Linked DNA regions of Callithrix jacchus. The protein of the gene in region 1 interacts with the protein of each later gene in a pairwise test. Links are inferred from orthologs where the notes say so. Each region holds a gene or a part of one and is shown on either strand. Other genes may lie near its edges.

What was found.
Region 2: the proteins of KLRC1 (region 1) and PMP22 interact in binary tests that used the Homo sapiens proteins (3 or more experiments, as listed by UniProt). The two-hybrid records come from large-scale screens. The link is inferred for Callithrix jacchus from reciprocal best matches to the Homo sapiens genes KLRC1 and PMP22.
Region 3: the proteins of KLRC1 (region 1) and MAL interact in binary tests that used the Homo sapiens proteins (3 or more experiments, as listed by UniProt). The two-hybrid records come from large-scale screens. The link is inferred for Callithrix jacchus from reciprocal best matches to the Homo sapiens genes KLRC1 and MAL.

What each region holds. Positions count from the first base shown.
Region 1 is NC_133510.1:12,590,819-12,593,891, reverse strand, and holds part of KLRC1 (NKG2-A/NKG2-B type II integral membrane protein), read right to left. Parts: intron 2,826-3,073; coding exon 2,730-2,825; intron 2,222-2,729; coding exon 2,168-2,221; intron 1,330-2,167; coding exon 1,178-1,329; intron 1-1,177. UniProt on the Homo sapiens protein: Immune inhibitory receptor involved in self-nonself discrimination.
Region 2 is NC_133506.1:81,772,981-81,776,628, reverse strand, and holds part of PMP22 (peripheral myelin protein 22), read left to right. Parts: intron 1-98; exon of another isoform or gene 99-222; intron 223-1,873; 5' UTR 1,874-1,907; coding exon 1,908-1,985; intron 1,986-3,099; coding exon 3,100-3,199; intron 3,200-3,648. UniProt on the Homo sapiens protein: Might be involved in growth regulation, and in myelinization in the peripheral nervous system.
Region 3 is NC_133515.1:5,151,539-5,155,827, forward strand, and holds the start of MAL (myelin and lymphocyte protein), read left to right. Parts: upstream 1-1,434; 5' UTR 1,435-1,519; coding exon 1,520-1,612; intron 1,613-4,289. UniProt on the Homo sapiens protein: May be involved in vesicular trafficking from the Golgi apparatus to the cell membrane. Plays a role in the maintenance of the myelin sheath, and in axon-glia and glia-glia interactions.

The DNA.
Region 1 (3,073 bases):
AAACCCTCACTTTTATACTTTCATCTGATTCGGTTTGGTGGAATAACAGTGGTCCTTACCAGGTGGTATAGAAATGTCCCTCTCTGCTACTTCCTCTCTGCTACTCCCTACTAAAAACAACTTAAACTCTGGGATTAACGAAAGACAAAAGCAATAGAGAACTCTGAAAGTTGGAAAGAGAAAGATGAAATTGTCTGGGACCCTAGCATTGGGGATCAACCAAGTGTCCAAGGGAGCATGTTAAGTTCTCCACCCAGAAGAAAGTGACATAGGTCTGCTGTTTCCCAGCACTTGACCTGGCAAAAGGAGGAGGCTCAGCAAAGCTCACTTCCACTGTGTATTGAGGAAGAGTCCCCTCCACAACGCCAGGTAAGGCAAGGATGATCTACCAGGAGATCTGCTACCAATTAGGAGCCAGAGGAAGTGCTTCCTTCTGATACCAATAGACACCAGGATGAGTGTGGGTGAGGAGGATCAGCAAAGGGACCCCATGACTATCAGTGCACCATCCAGGTTCCTCTTTGTCTTTGAGGACATGAGGCTCACTTCCCCATCCAGAGACACGGGACTGAATGGATTGTTAGTGTTCTTTGTATATATATAGCAGTGAACAGTAACAAACGACTGGTAACTGCAATAATATGAAGGAATTGCACAAATATCAGACAGGAGTGGAAAAGACAGACATGAAAATTCACACTGTATTATTCCCTTTATATAAATTCAAGAACAGGCAAACATTATTTATAACGTTATAAATCAAGACAGTGTTTCAGAGAGGAGCCAGGATAAGTGATGAGGGCACGCACAGGGTGAACTGCTGGAGCTGGAACTTCTGTTTTCTGATCTGACTTGTATCACGTGAGTTCATTCACTTTGTGATCAACCTGCATGACCAGATCATATCTTGCTTGATAAAATTAGATAGCAAAATTTATTGTGGGTTCAAAGCATTTACAGAAGCATGGTTTTCCATGAAAAGCAAAAACTGAAAATTTTCAAAAGTACATTAGCAGTATACAAATTTTAAAACATCATTAAGTCAAACTATTGAATATTACACAGACTTTAAAATATATAAGCTAAATATATATATATGATTTCTACAAATATGTTACAAATATGCTATTGACTGAAATAAGCTTTTCGTAAAGTGTTTAAAACATTTACATCTTACCATTTCTTCTTCATTATCTATAGAAAGTAGACTGGAGTTTTTCGAAGCACAGGCCAGCAAACTCTCTTCCCAAGTTCTTCTTTCCTTACCAATGTAATAACAACTGTTGGAATACACAATCCACTCCTCTGGACAATGGTCACAACGATATGCTAAATAAAGAGCAGGAATTACTATCCAGAACAATGTGAATTTTTAAAATAAAAATTATTTAACATACTTGCAAAGGCATAAAGCTACATGTCTGCAACATATCTATCCATCCTCACAGGCTGGTAAATACATACTTTTAAAATACCCAGTCACTTATACACACATGCACAATAAAGGGTCAGCCTCTCATGTCCTAATTGTGTTCCCATATAAAGCAAACCAGCAAACAAAAATCCACTCTATACGTGTCTTGAAAATCAATGAACAAACCAAGCTGCTTTAAAAAAAATAGTAAATAACTTGTATCTTATCATATTACAGCAATAAGAATTTGAACGCAACAGACAAAAGAAGGTATAGTGATTTTACTTATAGTTAATGACAAGGTAATACCCTCATCTTTATTTATGAACATTTATTGCCAATTTTTATAACTTATTTATCACCCCAAATTTTATTTTATTTTATTTTATTTATTTTTGAGACGGAGTTTCGCTCTTGTTACCCAGGCTGGAGTGCAATGGCGCGATCTCGGCTCACCACAACCTCCGCCTCCTGGGTTCAGGCAATTCTCCTGCCTCAGCCTCCTGAGTAGCTGGGATTACAGGCACGCGCCACCATGCCTAGCTAATTTTTTGTATTTTTAGTAGAGACGGGGTTTCACCAAGTTGACCAGGATGGTCTTGATCTCTTGACCTCGTGATCCACCAGCCTCGGCCTCCCAAAGTGCTGGGATTACAGGCATGAGCCACTGCGCTTAGCCCCCAAATTCTATTTTTGCACAGCCTAAGATCGAGAAAACTGTACAATATTAGAACTTTAAAAATTATTATGTACCTTTCTGAGTTCTTGTATTCAGGGAAGAATTGTTGTGCTTCTGTGTTAATGTAGCTAGAAAAAAATAAAGTAATCTGTAAAAATTAGCATCTAAATCAATCAGAAAAATTTTAGTTTTTGTTTGAAATTCGTTATATTATTTAGAGTTAGAATAATATAGAATAAAATTGATTTTAGGAAAAATTTTGATAAAGTAATTATGGTTTTTTTACAAAAGTATTTCAAAGACCTAAAGAACCAAATTTCACCATCTCGTATAGTTCTTATAGTTTGTGATTTAACTACTTTCAAAAATTAATTTCTTTTCTCAGAAAGATTTTTCAGACCCCTTCATTTTTGAGTTATGAAATAAAAATATATACACACAATTGAATCAGAAGGAAATGCTTTCAACAATCATTCTTTCATTTATTCTTTGACAAATTCAGAATAACCATTCCACATTTAGTCCAAATATATACATTACAATGAGAATACTATTCCCTGAAAATATGAAATGTTTAGGGGCATATTCAATTATTAATGAGAGAATTTTCCTTGTAATCTTCTAAAATAGACTTACAGGGAATAACAACTATCGTTATCACAGAGGCCATTAAGAGAAGACAAATGATTCCCAGGATCCCAATAATGACCTTCTCTGGAGCTGATGGTAAATCTGCAGGGACAGAAATGAGAAGCAGGCAAAAGGAGAGGTGGATACAGTTGTTTAGAAGATTCCCAGACAAGAGAACCTGAATGCACAGGGATCATACAGAGAAGCGTGGGCCCCAAACCCTCATGTCATATTGTAATCTTTCTTTCAGAATAATATAATATTGCATTTCAGGAAAAATAATGCTCCATGAATTATTGGACAAAGACTACAAATTTCAACAATGAGTTAAATCAGTGTTCATGTTTTAT
Region 2 (3,648 bases), on another chromosome or scaffold:
CCGCCCTCCAGCACACGCTGACCCAGGGACACACCCTACTGCAGCGACGCAAACAGGGCGTTGTTCCCGTTAAAGGGGAACGCCGGGAGCCTCCCACTGCCCCCTTGCTTCGCGCGCGCGCGGCCCCGCAGCGCAGCTTTGGCGACGCCAGCAGCGGAGCCAGCGCACCCGAGTTTGTGCTTGAAGCCATCCTTAGGATCCGGACAGCTGTTCCTTTGGGCTGTAAGTGCTTTGGTGGGGAGAGTGGAGCAGATGGGGAAGAAATGTGGACATCTTTCAGAGAGGGTGCCAGAAAGCGCAGAGCAGGCGCTGGTTTTTGCCGGCTCCTTGGGGCTTCTGTCGGGGCCACAGGGTCTCCGGTCTGCCCTGTTTCCTTCCAATGGGACTTGGAGTAATACAACGAGGAGAGCCTTTATGGTCTGTAAGCCCTTACAGGGCAAGGGTGATGGTGCTGGTGTCTGGATAGAGCATAAGGGCGGCCCAGTTTTCGCCTTGCTGAAGAGGCGTCGACTCTGGGACGCACTGGCAAAACAGTCCCTGGGGCGGACATCCCGAGAGTGCTGAACTCCTGTGGTTCCCCAGTTCCCAGCCTCATGCCATTGGTTTAATTCAAACCCTCTGGGAGTCACCAAAAATCCTTGTTTATTTCTTCCAGTGCATTCCAGAGTTTCTTTGAATGTGATGCTTGTGGAAAGGAACGGAGGGGCCTGGGATTGGGTACTTTGCAAACGGAGTTATTGAAACCTTGTCTCCCTGGTCCTAGACTCCGCCTGAAATGGTCCCCAGAGTCTCAGCCAGATCTTTCACAGCCATGCGTGTCTTCTAACAGGTCACCCCAGCCTTCAGTTCCCCAAAGTCTAAAATGAGGGGTGGGCCAGGACCGCATTACTTCGGATAGGTGTCCTGCCGGCTCTGACCGGCTGGAATTCTCGGACTCAGCCTTTTAGTCTCTGTCTTTCTCTCCCGCCCGCTGGACATCTGCTCCCATCGGTCCTGGCTCCCGGGCTGCTGTCCCACGGCGCCCAGACCGGAGCTCAGGCTTGACGGGGTCGGTGTCCTGGCTTTGAGTGTCTGGGGTGCAGACTGGACCCCCAGGCGAGCGCGTGGGTCTAGAGCAGGAGGAGAATACCCCCTGCCCTCAGGGGCCGCGTGGGGAAGCCCGTGGTGGAGGGGAAGCGCAGGGTCCGGACAACCCTCCCAGGCCATTCTTTCCTTTTCACACTCCCCTGGCACTGCACCGCCTCTCCGGAGCCGCCGGAGTCTGCGCGAGGCTGAGCTGGGCCAGACGGTTCCTCTACGCTGGCAGAATTGGGTGGAAACTTGGAGACTAACGGAATGCGGAGCGCACTGCGGTCTGGGAAACCAGCCTCCTCGCCGCTGTCTCCCCCACCGCATCCCGCGGGTGTCTCCAGGTCTCAGACGGAAATCTGGGCGCCTACCCGCCTCACTCCTACCTCCACCCCATGGGGGAATTCACCCTCTGAACCGGGGTCTCGGAGAACGTGACCTCTCCCATTCCCGGGAGGTCCCCGGGAGGCGCTCGGGGTAGGTGGAAGCGTGCGGTGGCCTCCGCTCATATTTTCTGGAATCCCCTCTGTTCCCGGGATGATTTTATACGTGCACGCCGCCTGATTTGTTCCAAAAGCAGATGTACCCTTGCAGGCGGGCCCGGCTAGGCGCTGGGCGCTGGTCCTGCAGGCGGCTGCTGCCCCCTCTCGGCAGCGGGCGGCGCGAGGGCTCCAGACCTGCGCGGGCGGGCTGCAGGCGCGGGGCCAGGCCTGGCCTTCCGCTAGTGCGCGGGACCCTCCCTCTGCGCGCGCCTCCCTCGCTCGGCCCAGTGCGTTCGGCCTCACGCCCAGCGTTCTCCCCGCAGGCAGAAACTCCGCTGAGCAGAACTTGCCGCCAGAATGCTCCTCCTGTTGCTGGGTATCATCGTCCTCCACGTCGCGGTGCTGGTGCTGCTGTTCGTCTCCACGATCGTCAGCGTGAGTGCCTGGGCGGGAGGCTCCCTGCGCGGCCCGCCCTTCTCTATCTGGGTTCCCAGCCCTAGCTCCCTCTGGTTCAGGACTGTGTTATTTGCAGACAGTTGGAAGTCTCAGACGTCCCGGGGAAGTTTCTGGCAATCTGCCCGCTTCCAGTTGCTTTGAGAAAAGGAGAGCAGATTCAGCGATAGGAAGGAAGCGAGAGCTGGGCTGCGTTAGCTGCGCAGGCATCTAAGCCAGAATAACCTCAGAGCAGATCTAGGCTAGTCCCCGATCTTCATTTGGTAAGATGGTTTAGCATTTTTTTTTTGGTCGATGCAGCCTCGTTGAAGAATATTTATGAAAATGTGTGTGTGTGTGTGTGTGTGTGTGTGTGTGTTTCTCCAAACCGTAACTCAGATGGGTGACCTAATTTATAAAACACCCTTTTAGGACTTAAAATTGGAAGGTTAAAATTTTTGGAAGAGAGTTCACAGGTCCCATGTCAGCTTTATGGCATAAGCAGAACCCTTGTTAGTAAGGCTTCCGCTGAGAGGAACAGGCCATCAGAGTAATTTCTGTTACAAAACCATCCAGCCCATTAGATCTTAAAGTTATTTTCTTGGCGATGAAGATGATCAGACATTCAGGCAGTTTTACCACGGTGGCTTTCACTTCTTAATTTAAGGCACGTTTGTAAGCATGATTTTCTAGTCTCCGTGAGAAATAATTATATTGGGGATGTGTGACATTTGTAAGCATCTTCACAGTATCTTCATTGTGCCTGGCGATAATAATGGCAGACTGATAGGAGTTATAAACAAAGAAATAGGGCCAGAGAGGTGGGCTTGGGGAATGATCCCCAGAGATACTGGGACAGAAATGTCTCAGGAGATTGAGTGTATGGCTCCTTCTACTATAGTAAAAATCTCTACACATAATTGTTTCCGTGTGCATGTGAAACTTTTCCATTTACAAAGTGCTTTTAAGTCACCAAACATTGGCTCTTACCATGCAGTGGTCGGGGGTAGCCAGGTGGATGAGGGTGCTTTTCACCATCCCTGGGGCTTTTTCCTTCCCCCTCTCCTTCACTCCTCACTCCCTTCCTGACTCAGGATATCTGTCTGGTTCTCTCTAGCAATGGATCGTGGGCAATGGGCACTCAACTGATCTCTGGCAGAACTGTAGCACCTCTTCTTCAGGAAACGTCCACCACTGTTTCTCATCATCAGCAAACGGTGAGGCTGGTTTTGTGCTCCATGAGCTTGTCCTTAGATGCCTGTAACGCGTTTCTTGCTCCAGACCTGGAAACGCTTATTGGGAGACACAAGCCAGAACATTGTTGCTGGGGTGGGGTGGGATGTGACAGGGAGCCATGAGTCCAGGGCAAAAGGGGAGAGGTGGTGATCTCGCTGGGGAAGCTGAGATCCTGGGCAGCAATGTGATTCTCTCTACCTAGAAACATGCCCTTAGTGGGCTCCTGATCACTTGGGATAATGCCTTTTGTGATTAAAAAAATGTGAACCTGGGAGCTGTAGAGGTGGTATGATAGCTAAACCTCAGGCAAACCCCCTTGGGACATCTGATCAAACGTGTATCTCTGGTTTGGGGGTTGTCTCTATTCAGAAATGTCCTGCTGCTTTCTGCTGCAGTGACAGTGGGGCTGTCTCACCGTACCATCAGTTAC
Region 3 (4,289 bases), on another chromosome or scaffold:
CGGGGAGGAAAATGTCCTCTCAGAGGCCAGCAGGTCCAACAAATGAGCTATGAGATGTCCAAGGCGGGTGAGGACCTGGGCTCCTGACAGTCCCACAGCCCATTGTGTCTCGAAGGATGCTGCCCTGGGGACCTGACACAATGGCACCTTGGTTGTGGCCATCCAGGCTGGCAGCTCACAGAGGAGCAGTGGGCTTTCCTCATTTCAAATGCCTGACCCCTTTACAGGAGCAGTTAGAATGGCCAGCTCATGGGCATGCTACTTTTGCTTTGGGAAATGGGTCCAGGAATGTACTTCTCTCCCTAGGGACTGAGAAGGAGGAAGAATTGTGCATCGGGGAGAGTGCGGGCCCCAGTGGATAGAAGGGAGCCCCTTGCTCTGCCTGCAGCAGTTGCCAGGGGAAAGCAAGGAGAGTTGGGAGTCTGAGCTGGAGGCTGCGGGGCCAATTCCCTCTTGGCAGGAGAGGATCCGGGCTGGAGCAGATTTTAGGCTTCAGCAATCATACTATACTAAGAGAAAACACAGCAATCATACTATTATTAGTAAATTAAAATAAATGGGCAACTGCTGTATGGTAATACTTGCTTAAAGGCAAAATACAAAAACTAATGAATAGTGAAACAGGAAAACAAAACAGGAAATGCCGGCAGTCAACAGTCAGGCAAAGAACACGGGGCTGGGGGTAGCAGCGGTCCCACCCTCCGAAGGGCTGTGCTGCCCAGAACAGGAGAAAGCGATGCATCTCCTCTGGTAACGTCTTTTCCTGTCCCATGGATTCAAGGCAGACCTGCCCCAGCAATACCACCCACAGCCTTCTCCTGGGGCCGGCGCGGCTGGGAGCAACCTGCTACCCTCAGGCAGACGCGCAGCACCAAGTAGAGAGGCAGTGCATGGTCTCTGCGCTGGCTAGGTGGACGCGGAAGGAGCAGGCGGCCGAGGCCGGTCCCAGCCCCCACGGTAGAACCCCAGCCTGAGGCGGTGGTCCCATTCGGCCAGGAAACCTCCTGGAGGTGTGGGTAACGGATATTAATGCATCCAGCGGAAAGATGAAGGAGACCCAACTTCAAAGTTAAAGCACTGGTGACTGGAGGGGTGCCTCGGTGGGAAGATTTGGGGTCCTGGTTACTGATAGTTATCATTCTTATGAGACGCTGCTCACCTACCAAGCTAGAAAAGCGTGAGGAGCGCTTGACCGAAGTGCTTTTGCCCTGCTTCCCGCAAGAGGTGGTACCCAGGGCTGGAACGCAAGAGTCAGGACCACCGTCCTCAGTTCTGCAGCCCGCAGCCCGCCCTCGAAGTGGTTCAGGGCGGTGCCCGCGGTGCTCGGGCCGGGTCCCCCGGGACGGAGGGGCGGGGCTGGGCGGCGGCCAGGGCTCCTCCCACTTCTGCCTCGGGCTCCCCTGCTCTTAACCCGCGCGTGGGGGCGCCCAGGCCACGAGGCTCCGCGGAGCAAGCAAGAGATCTGCGCGGAGCCTGAGCGGCGCGCGTCCAGTCCCGAGGCCGAAGCCAGCACACCGGCATGGCCCCCGCAGCGGCGTCGGGGGGTAGCACCCTGCCCAGTGGCTTTTCGGTCTTCACCACCTTCCCTGACTTGCTCTTCATCTTTGAGTTTGTGAGTGACTTGCGGTCGGGGAAAGGAGGGGACGGGCTGAGCCCTGCGTTCTCGCGGGCACCCCGCACAGCTGTCGGGCTGGATCCGAGAGCTGCGCAGGTCCTGGGAGCAGTGGAGGTCCTGGGAGCCGCGGGGCAGCAAGGGCAGGGCGGGGACTAAGCCAGTAAAGTCCCCTCCCATCTCTGGTCGTTTGCCCCCTTCTAGACCAACGGAATGAGTGGAACAGTCTACGGGACTATGGAGGAAAAACCGGGTTCGCAACCTGGGTCAGATGTTGGCAGAGGGCCAGGTGGGGACAGTTCTTGGTGCGCCGGTTCCAAAGCTGCGCGTGTGGCCCACTTGGCAAGCGCAGCGCCACCGAAGCTCAAGCCGCCCTTCGGGCGGTTGGGTAGAAGTGCCCGGCTTTTTCAAGGAAGGAGGTTTCATTTAAAAAAAAATCATCAAAAGAAATGTTAGTATTACCAACCGAGATTCGGAGACGAGAGGGAGCTGAATCCGGTTTATTTTCTTCTGGCCTTTTAAAGTTTCACGTATTTGCGACCAATTCGATCTGGAAATGAGGAAACTGAGGCCGTCGTTTGCTCGGCCGTAGTCCTTCTGCCTCTTGTGTGGGGTGGGAGTGGACGAGATGGGCGGGCGAGAGCGATCCGCGCGCCTCGGCTGACCTTGGGCAGCTCCGAGGCCTCTGCACCTGCTGTTGGTCCCGCCTTGCGCACAGGGTCTCCGCCTGAGACTGCGGAAAAGCGCTTCCTACTGAGGGCTCCTGATCAGCACTCACGGCGTCGCGAGGCTGAAGTGACCTCCCTCAGCCTCAACTTTCTGGGGGCCGCTCGCCCTCAACTGGGAGGGGTGTGCTTTGTATATTATGTGGATTTGGTACATCATCGCCTCAGCGACACGTTTTCCGGCACCCCTGCCTCAGAAGCATCGGTGTGGATAGTTGGGTAGGAAAGAAAATGTCGGAGCCTGACTTTAAAAATTGGACCCCAGGTTGTTATTGCCTGATTGGAGGGGAGGGCGTGAGTACCAAAGGGTAGGTCAGGTCAGTTCATCTAAGGAGGGCTTGGGAGCAGGGGTTAAGAGGGCCACAGCTCTGTGAGCAGGGTTGTCATTGAACTTGGGGTGAAAGTCGAGTTGAACCCAAACCTGGATGGAACTAGTGATTTGAAATCCTAGGGATTGGCAGAATCCAAGCAGTTAAATTTAGAAAAATCCCTGGATGCCAATGAACCTAGCTCCACCATTTACAGAGAGCCGACCCCCTCTGGCCTTCTTTTAGAAGTTCAGCATATAAGAAAGAGTGAGGTCGGGCGCGGTGGCTCAAGCCTGAAATCTCAGCCCTTTGGGAGGCCGAGGCGGGTGGATCACGAGGTCAAGAGATCTAGACCATCCTGGTCAACATGGTGAAACCCCGTCTCTACTAAAAATACAAAAATTAGCTGGGCATGCTGGCGCGTGCCTGTAATCCCAGCTACTCGGGAGGCTGAGGCGAGAGAATTGCCTGAACCCAGGAGGAAGAGGTTGCGGTGAGCCGAGATTGCGCCATTGCACTCCAGCCTGGGTAACAAGAGCGAAACGCCGTCTCAAAAAAAAAAAAAAAGAAAGAAAAAAAAGAAAGAGTGAGTGCCCTTGCAAGTAGAAACAGTCCAGTTAGACCTCATCTGCAGGAAAGGGGGCCAAAGGCTCCAACCCAACCCACCAATGCTACAGAGATTACAGGGCTGTGAGAAACCTTGAAGCCATCCACAACTGGCAGCTTGCTCCTCCAGCATGGCTTTTTGGCTTCAAGAGGAAAGAATTTCTTCCTCGCCCAGAAAGCTTCTCTCAGCTGTCTTAGAAAGTCACTTATCCACCTCACCCCTGTTCTCTACCTCCCTTCCTCACTTCCCAGGAGACCCTCAATGCGTAGTCATCTCCTGGTGTCTTCCTCACGCTCTAGGTTAGGGGTGGGCTCGCAGATGCCTGGGAGAGAAGAGGAGAAAGCTGACTCCAAGCCTCTCAGTTCTCCTCTGCATGGACTGTAAATATGAAGCTGTATATATTTGATGTGTGGAAGGAGTAGAGAATTAGAGGATCTAAGAAGGCACTGACCACCCCAGGAGAGTATTTTTTTTAATTATGGAATATTACAACTCAACAACTAAAAGACAACCAAGTTAGAAAATGGACAACGAACTTGAACAGAGGTTTCCACAAAGAAGATATCCAAATGGCCAATATGCACATAAAAAGATGCTTAACATCATTAGGCTTTAGGAAAACAAAACTAAAATCACAATGAGACTGAGCGAGGTGGCTACACCTATAATCCCAGCACTTTGGGAGCCCGAGGTGGGTGGATCACCTGAGGTCAGGAGTTTGAGACCAGCTTGACCAACATGGTGAAACCCTGTCTCTACTTAAAATTAAAAAAAAAAAAAAATTAGCCAGGCTTGGTGGCTCATGCCTATAGACCCAGCTACTCAGCAGGCTGAGGCACAGGCATTGCTTGAACCTGGGAGGCAAAGGTTGCAGTGAGCTGAGATCACGCCACTGCACTCCAGCCTAGGCAATGGAGTAAGAACTCAGTCTCAAAAAAGTAAATAAGTAAATAAATTTTAAAAATCACAATGAGATATCACTTCACACCCATTAGGATAGCTACTATCCAAAAAATGGAAAACATCAAGTATCGGCC